3 linked regions of the Saccharomyces cerevisiae S288C genome follow. The gene in region 1 interacts genetically with each later gene. Each region holds a gene or a part of one and is shown in the gene's direction. Other genes may lie near its edges.

Region 1 (3,759 bases):
TGAGCTGTGGCTATGTATCCGCTGGCAAATAGGTCTGCTTTTTCTACACTTTCCACCCTCAACCTAACAGAGCCCGCTGGCACAAATAATCGATAGTAGGACAACAGAGCTACTCCTTCTTATGCCCCGCCCCTTTGAGCTTGTTGTATTGCTCTTGATAGTTGTGTTTTTCACTTTCATCAGCATCGGTAGTCTTGCCGTCCTTGTCTTGACTAGCCATTTTCTTAAAAGCGTCACTCACTACCTTTGCATCGCCCTGCAATTTTTCCTTTGAGCTCTGAAATATTTCGCTCACTTTTTGTTGGTCTGTATTCATTCTGGATGTCTTGGTTGTAGAAATTTCTTTTATTGGTTCATTAAAGTCAAGGTAAATGGCGAGAACTAGAATAGAGTTTTATTCTTTTTACCGTTATATAGATAATTCTAGCCGGGGGCGGTCGCCCCTGAGATTCCCGACATCAGTAAGACATAGTACTGTACGATTACTGTACGATTAATCTATCCACTTCAGATGTTCAACAATTCCTTTTGGCATTACGTATTAATACTTCATAGGATCGGCACCCTCCCTTAAGCCTCCCCTAAATGCTTTCGGTACCCCTTTAAGACAACTATCTCTTAACCTTCTGTATTTACTTGCATGTTACGTTGAGTCTCATTGGAGGTTTGCATCATATGTTTAGGTTTTTTTGGAAACGTGGACGGCTCATAGTGATTGGTAAATGGGAGTTACGAATAAACGTATCTTAAAGGGAGCGGTATGTAAAATGGATAGATGATCATGAATACAGTACGAGGTGTAAAGAATGATGGGACTGAGAGGGCAATTATCATCCCTCAGAATCAACATCACAAACATATATAAAGCTCCCAATTCTGCCCCAAAGTTTTGTCCCTAGGCATTTTTAATCTTTGTATCTGTGCTCTTTACTTTAGTAGAAAGGTATATAAAAAAGTATAGTCAAGATGTCTAACATGATGAATAAGTTCGCTGAAAAATTACAAGGTAACGATGATTCCCATCAGAAGGGAAAGAACGCCAAATCCTCCAACAAGGAAAGGGATGATATGAACATGGACATGGGTATGGGTCATGATCAGTCCGAAGGGGGAATGAAGATGGGCCATGATCAATCTGGAACAAAGATGAACGCTGGCAGAGGAATTGCGAACGATTGGAAGACTTACGAAAACATGAAAAAATAATGTTACGTTTTTTTGGGCGCAATTAACCAAGTCCTTTTATTTTTTTAATGGTTTATTTATGAATTGTTTATGTTTATGTTCTTTATACTCAAAATCAATAAGTGCTTATTTTAGCGAATTTTCTTCTACGAATATATATAAGTCATATCTAAGACTTCCATCCGTGCTTTATTACGTTTGTATGATGCATACAATGATGCCAAATCAGCTTGATGCTGTTGGTATTCAGTCGTCCGAAAGCCTGTTGATGTGACACTCAAATCTTCGGCATGTGTGAACGGTGGCCGAGCATAGTTCGTGAACATCATCACTTAAAATAAGAACTACACTTTACATCAGCGTGGAAGATAAAGGTTGTTTTAAGCTCAAGGGCGCTGGAGGTGTAGCGCTTCGGAGGAAAATAATATTGAATAACTTCGCTTTTTGTTCCAAATTCTAGATTATCGTGTATGTTCTTGTTCGTACGTCCATCTCCATAGTTATAATGAGTGGGCATGATTCTGTTACAAAAATATCTCATATCCTGAATGAACCGGTTAACGAAAAGGTAATGGTACAAAACGGGTTCCATGAAAGCTCTAAAATTGCAGACATCGAATTAGAGATACAGGAGCGACCTTCGATTAAACAATGGGAATCGCCGCGGAGTGCTGTAATTCCTACTTCAAATCATAATTTTAGCCCATTTCTCTATACGCAATTTAAATCTCGTGGTGCAGCACCGTTTGCACCTGAAACAATAAAATCTGTAGATTTAGTTGAGCTACCGGAGGGTGTACCCGCAAGAGTGTTTCATGAAAAGACGGGTTTATTTTATCAAATATCTCCACACTCTATTCCAACATTTATTTTAGCCAAAAAAGAACTCCCGGACCCCATAAAATTTTATGAGTTAGTGGAAGACTTAGGGTCAGTTTATGGATGTGTTAAGTTGAAAATTATACCAGATGCTGACAAATTTACTCAACTAAATGTTGATGTAGATCGCCTCTGGTTTAAAGCAAGAAAACAATTTTTCAATTCGAATGAATTTCAAAGAACCAAGATAGTTGATTTTTATGCGAAGTTGTATAATTTTCACAATAAAATCAAAAAGAGTACTCTCACAAGGATCCCAAGTATCGATAAACGCACCTTGGATTTATATAGACTGAGGAGTTGTGTGAAGTTGAGGGGAGGCTTCAATGCTGTTTGCGAAAAAAAATTATGGGCGCAAATTGGAAGAGAATTAGGTTACTCGGGCAGGATTATGAGTTCGTTATCAACTTCTTTAAGATCTGCCTATGCAAAAATTTTATTAGACTTTGACATATATGAAGAAGAAGAGCAAGCTGCTCGTAATAACGAAAAAAATGAAGACATGGTGGAATCTGAAATATTTCGTCACTCAAATAGCAGAAGTAGGGACGAAGAGGAGCCACTTCATAAAAAAGCTAAAATACACCGCGATGTCTTTAGAGCCGGATCGATTAATCATGAATTTAAAAGAATGCGGGACATAAAGCACATAAAAGGGTTTCCGACTTATTTTAACTCGTTAACTGAGTTTAAACTAGGCTATACACAGTCAACAGAGACCACATTACCGGGCTATGATTTTACTTTTTGGGAGAATGGTATGGAAATATACGATAAAAGCAAATACGAAACCAAAACCTCTCCAGTATACAATTTGAGACAGTATTACGAAAAAAGTCTGGCTGTTTTCACTGCTATTGTAGCGAAATTTGGGAGTAGCTATCCTGATTTGTTTGCGAAACACACAACATTACCTCAAAAGGAATTCGAGAGGTTATACTTTCATTTGCTATCGGAGCACTTTATAGATTTCGAAATTGACACCGGTCTTGGACTACCCTGTTCCATGAGATCACCAGGAAACAACTCGTCCAATGAAAAGTTTGCCATTAAGAATATTCTAGACCAGTGGAATTTAGACAACATTCCTCTCAATGAACTATCGCTTTTACAACACCTTGATCTGGATATGGCCAATTTTACGAGAACCACTTATGATATTGGAATGTTGTTTTCTTGTCAAGGTTGGTCTGTTTCGGATCATTTTTTACCTTCAATTGATTTCAATCATTTAGGTTCTACCAAGTTGGTGTACAGTATTGCGCCGAAAGATATGGAAAAATTCGAAGCTTTAATTGCTCGAGGAAAAAGTGAATGGGATACTATCCAATCAAGGCCGCGCTACTCCACCTCCGATGACGAATTAAAGAGCTTTATAGAAACAGATTTCTACAAGTCATTTTTGGATGCAGAACAATCTGCTGACTATTCAAACACTGGAGATAATTCAAAAAATTCATTTCCAGAAGATAAGATAGCAGGAAACACTCTACATGATGGTTCACAAAGCGACTTCATATTTGAGCCTAATTTCATCTTAGCCAATGGCATAAAACTTTATAAGACGACACAGGAGCAGGGCTCATACATTTTTAAGTTTCCGAAAGCCTTCACATGTTCTATTGGATCAGGTTTCTATCTATCACAGAATGCAAAATTTGCGCCAAGCTCCTGGTTGAGATTCAGTTCCGAGGC
Region 2 (3,759 bases), 300 kb from region 1:
GCCAAGAAAAAAATATAAGGCATGAGTCTAAATTTTTCGACTTTGATGACCCTGTTCACTTATCCTTAATCAATAAGTTACTAAGGTATTATTTTGATGAGATCAATCCTGTTTTCAGTATCATTCACGAAGCGACATTTTGGCAGCAATATAACAATAAATTTCTACGGCAAGGTAAACAAAATAATTCATCTGCGAATCTATTCACTTCCATGCTTTATCTAATTTTGTCTACTACACTAAGATTCAGAGAAGGGCATCTAGATGGTCAGAAAGGGCAAGGAACCTACAGTAACACATCCTTAAATATCACATTCGAGGAAAAATCTATTTTGATCAAAAAACCCTCCATAGAGGAAAATTTATTCAAATACGCTTATTTAATAATCAACACGCTGACCTTTGAGTGGGAATCATTCGAACTAATACAATCGTGGCTTTTGATAACCTTCTATTTCAGAACCTGTTACAGACAGACGGCGTGCTGGAACGCGTTAAGTCAAGCGGTGAACATGTGTAATGGGATGAGTCTATATTTAAACAAATTTCCTGAGATCCATTCCACTTATGATGAATCAAAAGCATGGCATTGTTTCTGGTGTTGTTTTATAATGGATAAGTTGATAAGTTTTCAAATGGGTCGATTCTACCAACTATCATTACCCGCGAGCGAGATGTGCGAACAGATGAATCTAGTGAAGTCAAAGAAATTTTTACAAGAAGAAGATGATTGGTTTCACGAAGAGACTTTTCAAATGCTTGATTTGTCCATAATAGTGACACAGTTTTTAAAAAGAGACGCACAGGATTTAAATTTGAACGAGACCGTGCAATTGCGCAGCCAACTTGGTCAATGGTATGACACCTTTATAGTTGGAAGTCAAACCAATGCGTACGACGACAATTATCGTTACTTCTATCAAGTTCAACCATTCATGACATACCTGGATATAAGGCTGACTTTCGAAGTAAGACAATTATTTTGTCTAATCGCCCCCTCATCTACCGCAAATAATAAATCCCTAGAATATGTCGTCGATACTGAATTGTTAATTTCTCATTGTCAAATGGCTATTGAAAATTTGGCTGAAATTACGAGAAGTAATCTTTTCTTTGTTCCGTGGTGGTTAAACCTTTCTCAACTATTCACGGTAAATTTAATATGTATTATCTACCTGCACGCAGGGATTGCCGTAACTCAAAATAAAGCTATCATGCAAAGCTGCCAAGAAATATGGCGAACCTTAGAGTGCTCTAAGCCAAAAAATCGGCCTTCAATGCTTCCTGAGTGCTTGTGGTGTTTGAAAATGCTGAATCATATGTTCTGCATACGACTGAGAGATTCTGCTTTGCAATTGGAAGCTACTCTCGGAACTGATCATGGTGATGACACCCCTAATAGAAATAAGTTTGAGCAGTTCAAGAAAGTTGGCGATAATGATGCGGATGTTGAAGTTGATGCTGGTGAAAGAGAAGAAAATGCTGATGAAAGACAAGAAAATCCACATAACAATAGCAAAAGAGTACCATTAGCTACTAGGTCTCATAATACCACTAACTTCGACGGTTCAATCGCAATTTCTCCGGAAAGTGCAGTAGCAAATCTAGGTACTGATACTGGATTGCCCTCAGATGTTCTTGATACTGTCAGTAAAATAGGGAACTCTCCTAATGTGTTTGATGATGATTTATTTTCCAATTTATTATGGTTTGACCAAAATTTTGCATAAGGATTCTTTTTCTATTCCATAAAACCATTTTATGGACACGTTTACCTACATATTATTATATTGTATATAAGATGTTGAAAAAATTGAGTCAACCTCACCTTACCACATGTTGGTCCGTTGCTATGACAAACTCTCGTTTTACAAGAAGGAGGCTCAAATTTCGGGTCACCCACCCATATACGGATGTCACGCTATGAGATCTTTTAAACAATAGACAATTTTTGGTATCCTAAAGATATAAAAGAGGAGTTTTTTTAAACCATGGTAACTATTTTCAAATTTGCTCTGCTGCAGTTTTTTATTTCTGTTTTTCTTTTTTTGTTCCCAACAAGAAGTGAGTTAATAAAGGCAAAAACAGTGGTCGTGTGAGAATGAATACAGTTTCACCAGCCAAAAAAAAGGTTATTATAATTGGTGCCGGTATTGCTGGGCTTAAAGCTGCATCTACGCTACACCAAAACGGTATTCAAGATTGTCTTGTTCTTGAGGCCAGAGATCGGGTCGGTGGTAGGTTGCAAACTGTCACAGGCTATCAAGGTCGGAAATATGATATAGGTGCTAGCTGGCACCATGATACGTTGACAAACCCTTTATTTTTGGAAGAGGCTCAACTGAGTTTGAATGATGGGAGAACGAGGTTTGTTTTTGATGACGATAATTTTATTTATATCGACGAAGAACGTGGAAGGGTAGACCATGACAAGGAACTGCTTCTTGAAATTGTGGACAATGAAATGAGCAAATTCGCAGAGTTAGAATTCCATCAACACTTAGGAGTTTCAGATTGCTCCTTTTTTCAATTAGTAATGAAATACTTACTACAAAGACGCCAATTTCTCACAAATGACCAAATAAGATATTTGCCACAACTCTGTCGATATCTGGAATTGTGGCACGGCTTAGATTGGAAGCTTTTGAGTGCCAAGGATACATACTTCGGTCACCAAGGAAGGAACGCCTTTGCTTTGAACTATGATTCTGTGGTTCAAAGAATTGCTCAAAGCTTTCCTCAAAATTGGTTAAAGCTAAGTTGTGAAGTGAAATCAATTACACGAGAACCTTCAAAAAATGTGACAGTGAACTGTGAAGATGGTACTGTGTACAATGCTGATTATGTTATTATTACAGTACCTCAAAGTGTATTGAATTTGTCTGTACAACCTGAAAAAAATTTACGGGGAAGAATAGAATTTCAACCACCCTTGAAACCAGTGATTCAAGATGCTTTTGACAAGATCCATTTTGGAGCGCTAGGTAAAGTAATTTTTGAGTTTGAAGAATGTTGTTGGTCGAACGAAAGTTCAAAAATTGTAACTTTGGCTAACTCTACCAATGAATTTGTCGAAATAGTACGTAATGCGGAAAATTTAGATGAATTAGACTCTATGCTAGAAAGGGAAGATTCTCAAAAGCATACGAGTGTTACTTGTTGGAGCCAGCCTTTATTTTTCGTAAATTTGTCAAAAAGCACAGGAGTAGCAAGCTTTATGATGTTGATGCAGGCACCGCTTACAAATCACATAGAATCCATTAGAGAAGATAAAGAGCGTCTTTTTAGTTTTTTCCAACCTGTGCTGAACAAGATTATGAAGTGTCTAGATTCTGAGGATGTCATCGACGGAATGAGGCCGATAGAAAACATTGCAAACGCTAATAAACCAGTCTTAAGAAACATCATCGTTAGCAACTGGACACGCGATCCTTACTCACGCGGTGCTTATTCGGCCTGTTTTCCAGGAGATGATCCAGTTGATATGGTTGTTGCAATGTCTAATGGTCAAGACTCCCGCATAAGATTTGCAGGCGAACATACTATCATGGACGGCGCCGGCTGTGCCTATGGTGCTTGGGAAAGCGGAAGACGGGAGGCGACTCGAATCTCTGACTTACTGAAATAGAATCTATTTTTTCGAAATTACTTACACTTTTGACGGCTAGAAAAGGATATACATACATATTAAAATTTTTAGTAACACTCTGTGCTTTTTCAAAAATTTGAGGTACACCTAATTCTCCCACTTGTTGCTTA
Region 3 (3,124 bases), on another chromosome or scaffold:
CGATCGAAGGCTGTTGGGATCTGATATATGGGCCACGTTGGGGCAAAGAAAATCGGATGCACATATTCCTAATAACACGAAAGCAATAATGATATGAAATAAGCTCGGCACAATAAACGTTACTGAAAGTTTAGGATCCTTGTAAAGTAATCGTGGATGGGCGACATTGATTGCCCAGTCCATATTATTGTGTTATTGTTGCTTGTGTACGGCCGTATGTGGAGAGGATGAACGAGTATTTTGTTCTTAGCGCTGCTTGTCCTTTTTTCTTGAAGCTGTACTTTATAGCGCCTCTTTTCCTTATTGTGGTAACGGTGGCTTATTTGGTTTAAGAACAAGCGGTAAACATGTCTACGAATGAAAAGCTAGAGGGAACACGTAGAGTATATTTTATTTCTATTATATTGTAAGAAGAATCTATTTAGAGTAAGATATTTTTTCGGAAGGGTAAGAGGGACCAACTTCTTGAATAGACAAAGCAGCTAGCCATTGACCCATGTCAATAGAGGTTTCCAAATCTTCACCTTTAGTCAACCCAGCCATAAAGCCACCAGCGAAGGCGTCACCAGCACCGTTGGTGTCGACGATCTTAGAAGAGTCCAAAGGTTTGACTGGATATGTGCTGGTACCCTTGGAGGACACGACCACTGTTGGTTCGACACCGTGGGTGAAGATGACAGTCTTTTCAACTGGAGAGTCCTTGACAATTCTTTGAGCAATAGCTTCCAAATCAGTGTTGGCACAGTCTAATTGGAAGGCGTCGCAAAAGGCTTCGGCCTCCGATTCGTTAGCGATGATGACGGTAGCATAAGGCAAAACTCTGGCCAATGCGTCTTTGAAGACATGAGGAATGAAAGGAGCACTAAAGTTCAACACGAAAGGTTTGCTGTTCTCTTTAGCATGTTGGCCCAACTTAACGATAGCGTCTGGAGACACGGTCAAGTGGAAACCACCGATGTAGAAGAGCTTAGCTGCTTCGACCAAGTCCCAATGCTTGTCCAAGTGGTCTGGAGTAAAGAAATTGGCAGCACCCAAGTCAGTGACCAAGGACCGGTTATGGCCAGTGATTAATGCGGCACACTTACCGGTACCAATATCATTTTGAACTTGGTACATAGACTTGACACCAGCTTTTTCGTTTTCGTTAAGCAATCTCTCGCTGAACTTGTCCTTACCGACGGAACCGAAGTACACCACCTGGCCGGCGCCCAAAACGTATGCTGCCCCTCTAGCAGTGTTTTGAGCAGCACCACCTGCAACAAGCTTTGTTTCTGGCATCTGTAAGAGCTCGTCAAAAATAGCCATCTTAGCATCGCCTGATTTGGCATCGACCAAAATTGCGTCGTTTTCCTTTAGAGAATACTTGGCCAGGTATTCAGCCGTGACGTCGGCTTGGAAATCTAAAAGTGGGTTACCCAATACTACCAATGGTGCGGTCATAATTGCTTGCTCTTTCTTTTGCTGTTATCTTTGGTTCTACCCTGCACAAGATAAACTGAGATGACTACCTAATTAGACATGGCATGCCTATAAGTAAAGAGAATTGGGCTCGAAGAATAATTTTCAAGCCTGCCCTCATCACGTACGACGACACTGCGACTCATCCATGTGAAAATTATCGGCATCTGCAAAAAAAGTTTCAACTTCCACAGGTAATATTGGCATGATGCGAAATTGGACGTAAGTATCTCTGAAGTGCAGCCGATTGGGCGTGCGACTCACCCACTCAGGACATGATCTCAGTAGCGGGTTCGATAAGGCGATGACAGCGCAAATGCCGCTTACTGGAAGTACAGAACCCGCTCCCTTAGGGGCACCCACCCCAGCACGCCGGGGGGTTAAACCGGTGTGTCGGAATTAGTAAGCGGACATCCCTTCCGCTGGGCTCGCCATCGCAGATATATATATAAGAAGATGGTTTTGGGCAAATGTTTAGCTGTAACTATGTTGCGGAAAAACAGGCAAGAAAGCAATCGCGCAAACAAATAAAACATAATTAATTTATAATGGTTCAAGCAGTCGCAGTGTTAAAGGGTGATGCCGGTGTCTCTGGTGTTGTCAAGTTCGAACAGGCTTCCGAATCCGAGCCAACCACTGTCTCTTACGAGATCGCTGGTAACAGTCCTAACGCAGAACGTGGGTTCCACATTCATGAGTTTGGAGATGCCACCAATGGTTGTGTCTCTGCTGGTCCTCACTTCAATCCTTTCAAGAAGACACATGGTGCTCCAACTGACGAAGTCAGACATGTCGGTGACATGGGTAACGTAAAGACGGACGAAAATGGTGTGGCCAAGGGCTCCTTCAAGGACTCTTTGATCAAGCTTATCGGTCCTACCTCCGTTGTAGGCAGAAGCGTCGTTATCCACGCCGGCCAAGATGACTTAGGTAAGGGTGACACTGAAGAATCTTTGAAGACTGGTAATGCCGGTCCAAGACCAGCCTGTGGTGTCATTGGTCTAACCAACTAATGTTAATGATAATATACTTGAATAAAAACCGTATGTAAGTAAGTAGTAAGCGCATCAATTCATTCATTTTCATTTCCCTCGCTTAGATTTATGTCCTTGATCACTTCACCAAGTGTGCCGGAGGCTGCGGCCACAAGCCCCCAAAACGGTCTTGATGGTTCCAGCACCTTCGATGTATACTCTGGATGGTATTGAGTGCCCACGTAGTATGGATGGCCTTTCAATTCGAATATTTCGCAACGCTGGCCCGTCTCGTCCTTACCAACAAAAATAAAGCCACGAGACTCCATATCATTCACTATTTTCGGGTTTATCTCATAGCGATGACGATGTCTCTCATGCACCTCATTAACTTCACCATAAAGCTTCCTTATGTTGCTCCATTCTGAGTTCGGTTGGAAAATGGTAGGCCTCAAACCCAATCTCATCGTGCCACCCATGTGTTCCTTGTCGATCTCGGGCATGTATATGACTACTTGGTCTTCAGGAGCTAGTAGTGTCTCGTCCAAAAATTCTGTAGAACTGCTGTTTGGGCGGCCTATCACATTGCGGGCGAACTCGATAGCGGCAACTTGTAATCCAAGACAGACACCAAGAAAGGGAACACCGGATTCACGGGCCCATTTGGCAGCAAGAATCATACCTTCAATACC

Evidence for each region.
Region 2: mutations in ECM5 (region 1) and FMS1 together harm fitness more than expected from each alone (negative genetic interaction), as found in Saccharomyces cerevisiae (2 studies listed by BioGRID).
Region 3: of ECM5 (region 1) and SOD1, changing one enhances a phenotype caused by changing the other (phenotypic enhancement), as found in Saccharomyces cerevisiae (2 studies listed by BioGRID, with this or other methods).

What each region holds. Positions count from the first base shown.
Region 1 is NC_001145.3:610,050-613,808, forward strand, and holds the start of ECM5 (Ecm5p), read left to right. Parts: upstream 1-1,690; coding exon 1,691-3,759. Other genes in the region: PAI3 (Pai3p), read right to left, coding at 110-316; SIP18 (Sip18p), read left to right, coding at 967-1,206; YMR175W-A (uncharacterized protein), read left to right, coding at 1,265-1,459. UniProt on the Saccharomyces cerevisiae protein: May be involved in cell wall organization and biogenesis.
Region 2 is NC_001145.3:313,276-317,034, forward strand, and holds FMS1 (polyamine oxidase), read left to right. Parts: upstream 1-2,101; coding exon 2,102-3,628; downstream 3,629-3,759. Other genes in the region: STB4 (Stb4p), read left to right, coding at 1-1,730. UniProt on the Saccharomyces cerevisiae protein: Involved in the production of beta-alanine, a precursor of pantothenic acid. Multicopy suppressor of fenpropimorph resistance.
Region 3 is NC_001142.9:621,897-625,020, reverse strand, and holds SOD1 (superoxide dismutase SOD1), read left to right. Parts: upstream 1-2,006; coding exon 2,007-2,471; downstream 2,472-3,124. Other genes in the region: ECM27 (Ecm27p), read right to left, coding at 1-183; ADO1 (adenosine kinase), read right to left, coding at 418-1,440; CTP synthase URA8, read right to left, coding at 2,531-3,124. UniProt on the Saccharomyces cerevisiae protein: Destroys radicals which are normally produced within the cells and which are toxic to biological systems.